Drosophila melanogaster: one gene and its partners. The protein of the gene in region 2 interacts with the protein of the main gene of each other region in a pairwise test. Each region holds a gene or a part of one and is shown on either strand. Other genes may lie near its edges.

Region 1 (3,755 bases), on a different chromosome or scaffold from region 2:
CGACTGAGCAAGTTCCGTCTCTAAAATCGAAACTATTCCCTCAGATCGAAATGGGCAGCACAGTGGTGCGCGTTGGCTCTTCTATTTTCGGCCATCGGGCGGCCAAGGTGTAAGAAGGGGAGCGGAGCAGAGATGTGATAGGAATGCGTTGCGGGCACTGAATACAGCCGATTCCCAATGACGTCCGACCTCACGACTGAGCACCTCCAAGTTCGCTCATGTATCAGGTGGAACTGGGTATATTCACACAGACTAACGTAGTAAATCAGCAAATCAAAGATGATTTGGCGTTTAAATTTAGAAACCCTTGAGATAAACAAATGTTATGTGTAGGCTGTTATTTGCCTTATTTAATTGTTAACCCTTTATAAACAATGCTTCCAAAGTGTCAAAACCATTAATATTCCCAGAAACATTCTGCACCTTGGAAAATTGAATACATTTGCCGCAGTTTTCATTAGTTTTAACATTCCTTCGACTGCGTCTTGCTCGTTTTTTGCACTTTGTTCTATTTTTACATTCGCGTATATTCAATGCTACTTTGCGTATTAGATTGTGGGCAGTTTTCCTCTATATCTTCTTGTTTTGGTTGGCCCCAGGCCAAAATGTCGCCTGGTTACGTGCCAAAATGGCTGCGCCATGAGAGTTTTCGCCGAAAATCACTTTCAATGGAGCACGAAGATGACTGCAGCCTAAATCGATTTTCATTATGTCTGATCGATGAATTATGAAGGCTTTCTCGCACGGATCCCATCGTTAATTGAGATATTTTCCGTTTCATAAATTTGCATAGAGCCTTCATTAATTATAATATTAGCCAGCGAGGGTAATGAATTCAGGTGGCAAAGATGACCTCATGTAAATATTGTTTTGAAAAATGTTTTGGCTTATTTCCTTCAGAAAGCAAAAAGTCGAATAATTTGCAGAATGAATATTTCTAAAAAAAATAGATGTAAACTATATGAATAATAATATTTTGTAACACTTGAAACTAAATTGAAATTTCCTGCTTATTTGGAAAACTAAAAATGTGTAAATAAGGCTTTGAGAATCCAATTTGTCGATTGAAGTTGTCACAATTTTACTATTTATTTACTGAAATGGCTTAAATAGCTTGAATACTGCAGTGTTTAATATTTTTAGTAACAAGGTTAATGTATCATGACGTGGTACCCAAAGTTTATCTGAAATGGAAATCCTACAGCCTTCCCATTGTTATGCAATGTCCATGGATGACTAGCATATAGATAAAGTCAGATGTTTATTCCACATTTGTTGCCGAAATAACTCTGGTCCAATATCGGGTTCGTTGGATATTTATGCGACACGAAATCCGCCCGATCGCCGTGTATGTATATACAGATCTATAGATTTGGAATTCTCGGCGCTCTTCATATTGCACAATGTGCGGGGCATTTCGAAAACAGAAAAAGGAACGTAGGCGAGCAAAACATCGAGTATATAGGCGTGAATAGAATACATACATATGCTATATGTTGGCATATATGTATGCTGTCCGCCGCCAAGGAAAATGTAGGTGATTTCAGCGCAAGAGGACACCTTTCGGAGGTGGCCTCTGGCAGAGAGACGCACCGAGTAGTGAAGCAGAGCAAAATAAAAGAAAACAAAACAGAATCCGAGGATGGGGAAATGTATCCACAACAGAGAGCCGCTATATGAACCAATCCGAATCGCCCCGAAATAAATTCCGAACATATGTATAGGCTTCTGCTGCCCAAAAGCCAAAGCCAAAGCAATTTCTCTGCCTTTAAAATTAGATTTTTGATTAGAGCAGCGCCCGATGGATGAGTAAACACCTCGGATACAGCTACACCATAGGCTATAGGCTATAGCCATGGCTATATCTATATAGTTGTAGCTGCCCGCCCCCGCCGATCTCCTGGGCGGACCTCGCCTTGCAGATACTAAAAAAGGCAGCACGAATATTGCAGATACGGATACAGCGAATGGCGCCCGAAGATCCCCGAAGGTGGCCGAACCTCCACGAGCGGCCCCAATGCTTGGAAGAAGAAGAGCTCCTCCGAGCTCTTAAAACATCATTGTCTTGGCGATAAAATCAGCCAGAGATTCAGTGTGCTCTGACGGCTCGACTCGATTAGACAACACATCAAAGTTCAGCACCATGGTAAGGACTCGTCCCGGAATATCACTACAATCCAACTGAACCGAACTGAACCGAACCGAATCGAACTGGACCCCAGTGCCTGGATATATGCAGCAAGGATAATGCCGATCAGTGCAGTGAATCGTTTGCATTCGAGAATGACCCCGAGGATATGAATATGAAGTGAACCATAACTCTAAATCATGGTGATCCCGATTCACCTTCTTCACATACGCAGTGAGAATAGTGCAGAAAGTTCTATAAATGGATCGATCCGATCCGAGTGTTACGCGTCAGTAATGTAATCTGATATCCGTGCCGGGGAGCGAGCGAGACAGCGAGTGGCGCACGGCGGAGAGCTTACGTAATATGCGTCCGGTATATTTTTAGAATGAGTGGAAAACTTTCGCCTGCAGATACATATTTTCTGGCCTAGTCGGGTAGGCCTTTTGAAAAGCATACCTTACATCCCTTAAATCCCTATTAAGGGATAACTTTCTACCCATATAATTCCAATTGAAGATCCTTCAACGCGGATAACTTACTAAGATCCCTAAAACGAATAGTATAACTTCCGGAATCGGAACTTTCAAGTGACAGCTAAAGACGGACTATAACGACTAATGACCGAGTAGATACCCCCTTTCTGCCACGAGTCCCTACTAATAAATCCCTCTTTTCTCTCCTCAGGCCGATGAGAAGAAGAAGGTTAAGAAGAAGAAGACCAAGGAAGAGGGTGGTACTTCCGAAACCGCTTCTGAGGCCGCATCCGAGGCAGCAACCCCGGCACCAGCTGCCACTCCTGCCCCGGCCGCATCTGCCACTGGTTCGAAGAGAGCGTCGGGCGGATCCCGTGGCTCCAGGAAGTCGAAGCGCGCTGGCTCCTCGGTCTTCTCTGTGTTCTCCCAGAAGCAGATCGCCGAGTTCAAGGAGGTGAGTTTTGGGCGTTACTCATATATCGCATCATATGTCGGATCACTCGAGACCCATCCCATCATCCTGTCATCCTACCATCTATCGCACTTGTCAAGGACCAAGTCACCAACACACTCTTTCTTTCTATCTCTCTCTGTCTCTGTGCGGGATCGATAGGCCTTCCAACTCATGGATGCCGACAAGGACGGTATTATTGGCAAGAACGATCTGCGCGCTGCCTTCGACTCCGTCGGCAAGATCGCCAACGACAAGGAGTTGGACGCCATGCTGGGCGAGGCCTCGGGTCCGATCAACTTCACCCAGTTGCTGACCCTGTTCGCCAACCGCATGGCCACCTCCGGTGCCAACGATGAAGACGAAGTTGTTATTGCTGCCTTCAAAACATTCGATAACGATGGTCTCATCGACGGTGACAAATTCCGCGAAATGCTCATGAACTTCGGTGACAAGTTCACCATGAAGGAGGTTGATGATGCCTACGATCAGATGGTGATCGACGACAAGAACCAGATCGATACCGCCGCCCTGATCGAGATGCTCACCGGCAAGGGTGAAGAGGAGGAGGAGGAGGCCGCCTAAGGCACATCCGATCACATCCTAACTTCTAACTCAACATCCATTTTACAGCCAGAATCAGAACGTTAAATCAATCAGTCAAATCAGTAATAATAAACGTAATTAAAAGAAACGCTCG
Region 2 (3,755 bases):
ATCTCGTGCAGAACATCATCGCTGATGGTGGCGTGCATTCCCAAATCGCTAAGCATCTTGGCGGCAATGCTCTTCAGACGTCCAATGTCCTGCTCAACGATGCACTCGCCGGGAATGTTGCCACACTCGCTGAGGAAGCGCTCGTAGGCGCGCAGCGCAAAGTTGTATGCCGTGAGGTTGCCCTGCAGCTCGTTGTCCTCAACTGGAAGGCAAGGAAAGGTAAGTCATTTAAGGTTGTTCCAAAATAGATAGATAGATCTTTACCCAGTGGTAGCAGGCGACTGCTCTTCTCGTACTCCTCTGCAATGCGTGTACCCCTTATGACCGCCAGTCCGGCTGCTTCTTTGCAAATGAGACGCACACTTCTCTCATCAATGCTGTCGGCAGGCAAAGCCAACTGCTTAAGGTACTCCTGGCACTTGTGATACACCTGGTCGGCGTCTTGCAGCGCCTGTTGGCGGTAGATGTGCTGCAGGGCGATATAGGAGTCCGTATTGGCAGTCATGTCCGGCAGAACGCCAGGCAGAGGGAGATGGCCCTCATTCTCATGTATCACAAAGTGCTTTAGGGCCTTGGCCATGATCCAAAAGACGTTGCTCTGTAAAAAAAAAAGAAAAACAAATGAAAGTAAAGTATACGTATAAATTCAGATTATATGGGCAACCTTCTTGTTTAACTGTTCGCAGGCATCATCTTCGAATATGGCTTTCAGGCTTTTGGGAACCTGTCCCGCTCCAAAGGCTGTATTGACCGCCTTGATGGCCTCTTCATAGTTTTCCTCATCCGCCTTCATCTCCTCTCTAATGGTCTCCTTCAACTGATTCTTCTCTTTGTAATTTCGAGGCGTTTGAGTCCCATCCGCTTGTTGTTTTTGCCACACATTAAGGTATTTGTGAAGAACCAGCAACCAGGGCACCTTACTGGTCACCTCGGTGCCGTCGAGATGCTCCCGCAAAGCATCGAATGGATGCTCCAGACGCAGATCAAACTGTCGATTATCCGGATGCGCCTCCACGATGCAGTGTTCCCGTATTTGCAAGCGTATTGTGCCCAGCATGCCAAGCGATCGGCAGTAGATTAATGGAACGTTAAGCTCCCATAACCGTTCGGCCAGGAGAAGCAAAGTCTGCTCATTGAGATTGGAGGCAATCACTAAATCGAAGCTGTCGAAGAAGTTCGGTCTGTTGGCTAATAAAAAGTCGGCACTCTCGTCGACATAATCGCCATTTACGTCGGGATTGAGTTCCTGGAGAAGTTGCATGCAAGCCAATGCTTTAGATTTGCCCAGATAGCTGGAATCGAGGAAGAAACTACGGAAAAAGTGACTTTATAATGGTGGTCAGGGAATGTGTGATGGTCTACCGACTTGTTGCCCAGATCCTCCTCCTTGACGGTGCTGCCATCGGCCACAGTGAAGCCTCCGATACCGGGTAGCACCAGTCCCTTGGCAGTTTCACAGCCGACGGCCGTAACATTCACCAAACATACTGTGGCTGCCTCCAATAGCGTCTGTCCATGCTCTCCCCACAGCCTAAATAGGTGTCATCAGTGCTATGCTTCCGAATTTATCAATTAAAACGCTCCTCACCTGATTTGTCTGTCGTATTTCTTGCTTTTATCCGAAAGCTCTGGCGATTTGGGGGCTGGCGAGGACATTTCACTAGATTTTTGTGCAATAATAAGCCGGTTGCAAATAATCCAGTACTGTAAAGCGCCGGCAGCCAATACTTCTGACACAATTTGTTTATTGGGTGGAGTGTTGGAAAAAACACGTTGGTAATTTTAACTGTTGCTTATTTAAAACATTTATTGACTATTACGTATTACATTTCATTTAATTTTATTGCATTAAACTACATCTACGTACAAGCAATCAGTCTTTACAAATAAAATGTATAAACAGTTGAGAAATTAAAAAGTGAAAGTCTGAGCAAACCAAATAAAGTGTCTGGTTGACAGTTTTTGAATAGCATTCCATGGCTATGGTTTTGGGTGAGTTTTAATATTGATTTTCAACATGCAATTAATTTAATTAAATAATACCGCTAACTGTTTGTTGGCTGGGCAGTGTAGGCAGCGCATTTTGCAACACTGGGAGGGCTAATGAACAGCTGTTTTATCGTGTAATTTCACAACAAAACAACGCATACATCGCTGTGTTTTCTTCTGCATTTCCGTCCGATTGCGATCCAATTTGAACTAAATAAATATCAGTATTATCACGGAGATAATGCCGGCCAAAAAGAGAACTGCCGCGTCGACCAGCAAAAATAGCGATTCGCCATTAAGTCCGCACACAGACGATCCAGCGTACAAAGAAAAAAGAAAGAAAAACAATGAGGTAAGTTTAAGAGTTTTGGATGTAAACAGAGAGCAAAGATTGGGAAACATGTTGCTGTGGCGCCGTGGCCCCCAGAAGTCCCCAAAAATAGATGCCCACTATTGATTTATTACTATTCTCGGAACAGGCTGTTCAGCGCACACGCGAAAAGACCAAGAAATCGGCCGAGGAACGTAAGAAACGCATCGATGATTTGAGGAAGCAAAACGATGCTCTTAAGGTTCAGATCGAGACGAGTGAAAAACATATATCTACGCTTAGAGATCTGATCATTCAGGGTGAGAAAACGGAGGACGGCCATCGAATCATCCAGGAGATTCTCGCTGAACCAGATCCCGATCCCAAGGACAATGACTAACGAGGAGCTTCTCCTGATTTACCTTCTTATATTTTCATACTTTTAAGCCATTTCCCATGGTTGTTAACCATGTGTATCATCTTAGTTTTTCGATTAAAATGGTGCAATTGCTCGAATTCTATTACAAAGACAAGCACTCATGCAGACGAGAACAGTGTTTGTTAAAATCCTACATAAATGGTTTTCATTATTGGTGAGTTTTTATCATTTCTCACCAAATACTTGTTTTTGTTGTACTTTTCTTTTACTTTTGTTTATATTGTAACACTTAATCACTGTATCCATGTTGCACTGAATCTAAATTTTAAAATTATCTATATTTAGTAATAGTGATTTCTATTATTTTCGACATGATTCATACAGCTAAAATCATGCGAGTCTTGAATCAAATAAAGTGTCTATTATGATTTTACCCATATCAGTGTTATTTTATACCCAATACTTCAGCTGTTTACAACTACTACTACTATTATTATTTCCTTGAAAGTTGATGAACTCATTAATCAGAAATACAACCCAGATTCCATCATATACATATGTTCTACGTTTAAGTAGAACTTCCGGCAAATTAGATACTAACCGTCGTAAACGTCCAATTTCTCCATGTGTAGGCTAAAGACCTCGTCCATTTTCCGAGATATGAACATATGAACTAAAACTATAGCTATTGAGAAAGTGTCGTTGTGCCGATAGGTTTTTGGTTTCGGGTGTCCCGTTAGGTCTTGCTCTCTTTGCTTTTGTTGTGGGCGCTCCTTCCGTCTTCTTCTTTCAAACACTCACAAAAACATTGATTTACTGCACTTTTCGCACATTCATTTGATGCACAACTCGACGGCGATTTGATTTGGCGGGTGGTTGGTTTCGTGTCGAAATGGAAGTTGGATTGTGGGGCTTTTTTCGCGTTCAATAAATTGCCGTCTTCCGCTAATTAGCACCACCCGCACACTGATTCCGATTCAATATCAATTTGAAGTTGCTCACATGGCACGAGGCGAAATAAACTGAAATGTGTTTTCAGTTTTTACAGCGTTGCTTTGTTGTATTTGGCTGGTCGGC
Region 3 (3,755 bases), on a different chromosome or scaffold from region 2:
GTGCGATCCTCAGTTTCGTGGAGGCAATCGGCGTGTAGAAAGCAATCCCGGCCTATCTCACTTAGGATCGCAGCTAGCAATTAAAATTAATATAAGCTGTAACCAATACTGTAATATGATGAGCGTTTGCATAATTGGGGCCGGAACCGCGGGTCTTTGCTGTGCCCGCCATTCGATTGCAAATGGGTTCGAGACCACTGTGTTCGAGCTATCTGACCGAATCGGCGGCACCTGGGTTTACAATGAGGCAACAGGGGCGGTCAATGGCATCGATGTCCACAGCAGCATGTACAAGAACCTACGGTACGTAAATCTTTCGAAAAACCATTTGATATTCTAAGAGTTTCCGGGCCTCTTCAAAGAACCAACCTGCCCAAGGAGGTAATGGGCTTCCCGGACTTCGAAATCGGGGCAAACGAGGCTTCCTATGTGAGATCCGACGAGATCTGCGACTTCCTTAACCAATACGCGAACCATTTCGACCTGAAGAAGCACATCAAGTTCGATAGCTATGTGATTCGAGTTTTGCAGAGGAAAACAAAGTGGCAAGTAAGTCGTGGAGTCAGCTTTATATATAACCACTTAACTGAAACGTTTGCAGGTACTTTTCAAAGACTTGGTCACCAACAAGATAGAGTTCCAGTACTTCGACAAGGTCTTGGTGGCCAATGGCCACTACCACACTCCGAATTATAGCCAAATTCCGAATATGGAAAGGTTTAAAGGGCAGTTCCTGCACAGCCACGACTTCAGAAGTAGGGAGGTTTTCGAAGGTAATTAAGGAATAACTTCTATTAGGTTATTTCACATGGTGTTCCATTCTGCTCAAGGTAAATCCGTTCTGGTCATTGGAGCTGGTCCCAGTGGCATGGACCTGTCGAACATCATTTCCCGAACGGCGGATCGGGTCACCATAAGTCACCACTTGACCGATATCGGGCAACACTCATTCTTCGAGAACGTACAGCAGAAACCCGATGTGCGGGAGCTCGATGAGAAGGGAGCCTTTTTCGTGGACGGATCGTACCAGGAGTTCGACACCGTCTTCTTTTGCACAGGTTACAAGTACGCCTTTCCCTTCCTGACCGTCGACTCGGGCATCTATGTGGAGGACAACTACGTCCAGGAGCTGTACAAGCAGTGCATCAACATCAGGAACCCATCCATGGCTCTGATCGGACTGCCGTTTTACGTTTGTGCCGCCCAAATGATGGACATCCAAGCGAGGTTCATCATGAGCTACTACAACGGATCCAACGAGTTGCCGTCCACGGAGGATATGCTCAAGGACACCCGCGATAGGATGGGCAAACTGTGGGCGGAGGGACTAAGAAAACGCCATGCCCACATGCTGGGTCCCAAGCAAGTGCGATGCAAGTTGGCTTTACTTCTCTATCTGGTTATTAATTCTATTCTCATTTATTATCAAGATCGACTATTTCACGGACTTGTCGCAAACTGCAGGAGTTAAGAACATCAAGCCTGTGATGACCAAATTGCACAACGAAAGCAGCAAGTGCTTCAATGAGAATTTGCTCCACTTCCGGGAGGACAATTTCGCGATTCTGGACGACGAGACATTCATTAAACTCAACTAGATCCTGAATCAATCAATAGGAGCATTAGATTCCAAAACATCGTTTTTGGACTTCCCTTCGAAATAAAATAAATTTCCAATTCTTGTATTCCAAAACAACAGTTTAAAAAATGAGCTTTTATTCTCGAACAAAAACTTTTTGAACACCGGCAAACATTTGTTTGAACATGTTTGTTGGTATTTTTCCAAACAGCTGATTGCGGGCAGCGCACATTCACCAGCTCTGGCCACACTCGCCCGCCTCCTCGCAATCACCTTCTTGCATAATTTTCGGAACACCTCACTTCGCTTTCAAAGTTCGCTGATTTAGGTCGGGTCTTCAAAAGTGGAATAGCGCCTCGTCATGCAGTGTCCGTTCTTGAACCGCTTCACCGCCAGCTTCATCCGCAACTACGCGGAGACGCTGTGCCAATCCTACGGGAGCCACTGTCCCGTGGTTGGGAAGACCTTGGTATCCGGCGAGAAGAAACTTTCACTCGTCGCCGCAAGTGTTACAAGGTCTCACTCGACGGGGGCGAACGCCCACGCCAATGCTGGTGGCCCCGCAACTGCCAACGCCACCGCTCCCGTCTCCGCCCCCGCCTCTGCCGATCCTGGCAAGGCATCCGCCAAGGAGACCTTTCCCTACGAGCGCTTCTTCAACGAGCAGATCATGAAGAAGAAGCGGGACCATTCCTACAGGGTCTTCAAGAAGGTGAACCGCCTGGCAGGCGACGGGCTTTTCCCCCACGCCCTGGAGTACTCGGAGCGGACGGAAAAGCCCATTACGGTGTGGTGCTCCAATGACTACCTGGGAATGTCCGCCCACCCCGGCGTCAAGAGGGCCGTCCAGGACGCGCTCAATAGGCACGGATCGGGGGCTGGCGGCACCAGGAACATTTCGGGTAACTCTCTTCACCACGAGCGCCTCGAGAGTAAGCTGGCTGAGCTCCACCAGAAGGAGGCTGCGCTGCTGTTCACGTCGTGCTTCGTGGCCAACGATTCCACTCTCTTTACGCTCGCCAAGCTCTTACCTGGGTGCGAGATCTTCTCGGACGCAGGGAACCACGCTTCCATGATTATGGGCATACGGAACAGCGGGGTTCCCAAGCACATCTTCCGGCACAACGACGTGGACCACTTGCATCAGCTGCTGAAGCAGACGGACAAAAGCGTGCCCAAGATCGTCGCATTCGAGACGGTACATTCCATGACGGGGGCCATCTGCCCGCTCGAGGAGCTGCTTGACGTGGCCCACGAGCACGGGGCCATCACGTTCATCGACGAGGTGCACGCCGTGGGATTGTACGGTGACCACGGGGCCGGGGTCGGTGAGCGGGATGGTGTGCTGCACAAAATGGACATCATATCGGGCACCCTGGGCAAGGCGTTCGGTAATATTGGTGGCTACATAGCTGGCACCCATAACCTGGTCGACATGATTCGGTCGTATGCGGCCGGTTTCATCTTCACCACCTCACTACCGCCGACTGTACTGTGTGGCGCCCTGGAGGCCGTCAATATCCTGGCATCGGAGGAGGGTCGCCAGCTGCGCCACTTGCACCAACGGAACGTCTCCTACCTGAAGAGCCTGCTGAAGCGAGAAGGTAAGACGTAATTCTGGCATTTATGTAACTCGAATTGAAGGTTATTCTCGCACTTTCGTTTTATTTTAAGTGATGGCTATAAATATAGAAAGAGACACTTAACTTTCAGTTTACTGACTGCATATATAATTGGCCCCATTTCAGGTTTCCCCGTCGAAGAAACGCCCAGCCACATCATTCCCATTAAGATCGGAGACCCTCTGAAGAGCAGTCAAATCTCAAACGTGCTGATCGAACAATTCGGACACTACCTGCAGTCGATTAACTACCCAACCGTCGCCCGGGGCCAGGAGAAATTGCGGCTGGCCCCCACCCCGTTCCACACTTTTGAAATGATGAACGCCCTGGTTACCGATCTAAAGAAAGTGTGGGAAATGGTGGACCTCTCTACAAACGTCCCTCTTTCGCCCAACGCATGCATGTTCTGCAACTCGGAGAGCTGCTGGCACCAGGACACCTCCCCGGATCTGGAGTGTGGCATTCCCAACTGCCCTCGCCTGGAGATCTCGCTTGCAGCATAGTTGCCTCTTGGAAACACGACTATAAATGAAGCATTCGAATCATAAAGCTAT

The links.
Region 1: the proteins of APP-BP1 (region 2) and Mlc2 interact in a two-hybrid assay, tested with the Drosophila melanogaster proteins (one large-scale study listed by BioGRID).
Region 3: the proteins of APP-BP1 (region 2) and Alas interact in a two-hybrid assay, tested with the Drosophila melanogaster proteins (one large-scale study listed by BioGRID).

Annotation. Positions count from the first base shown.
Region 1 is NT_033777.3:30,172,875-30,176,629, reverse strand, and holds the start of Mlc2 (myosin light chain 2), read left to right. Parts: upstream 1-2,078; 5' UTR 2,079-2,143; coding exon 2,144-2,146; intron 2,147-2,815; coding exon 2,816-3,058; intron 3,059-3,217; coding exon 3,218-3,640; 3' UTR 3,641-3,755. Other genes in the region: CG1983 (uncharacterized protein), read left to right, coding at 45-113.
Region 2 is NT_037436.4:11,096,586-11,100,340, reverse strand, and holds the start of APP-BP1 (beta-Amyloid precursor protein binding protein 1), read right to left. Parts: upstream 1,930-3,755; 5' UTR 1,657-1,929; coding exon 1,589-1,656; intron 1,532-1,588; coding exon 1,367-1,531; intron 1,311-1,366; coding exon 665-1,310; intron 599-664; coding exon 265-598; intron 203-264; coding exon 1-202. Other genes in the region: Irbp18 (inverted repeat binding protein 18 kDa), read left to right, coding at 2,231-2,341, 2,469-2,699; CG33947 (uncharacterized protein), read right to left, coding at 2,200-2,249, 3,280-3,328. UniProt on the Drosophila melanogaster protein: Regulatory subunit of the dimeric Uba3-APP-BP1 E1 enzyme.
Region 3 is NT_033778.4:23,962,945-23,966,699, forward strand, and holds the start of Alas (aminolevulinate synthase), read left to right. Parts: upstream 1-1,827; 5' UTR 1,828-1,940; coding exon 1,941-3,183; intron 3,184-3,327; coding exon 3,328-3,704; 3' UTR 3,705-3,755. Other genes in the region: Fmo-1 (Flavin-containing monooxygenase 1), read left to right, coding at 116-303, 363-549, 602-773, 831-1,366, 1,431-1,598.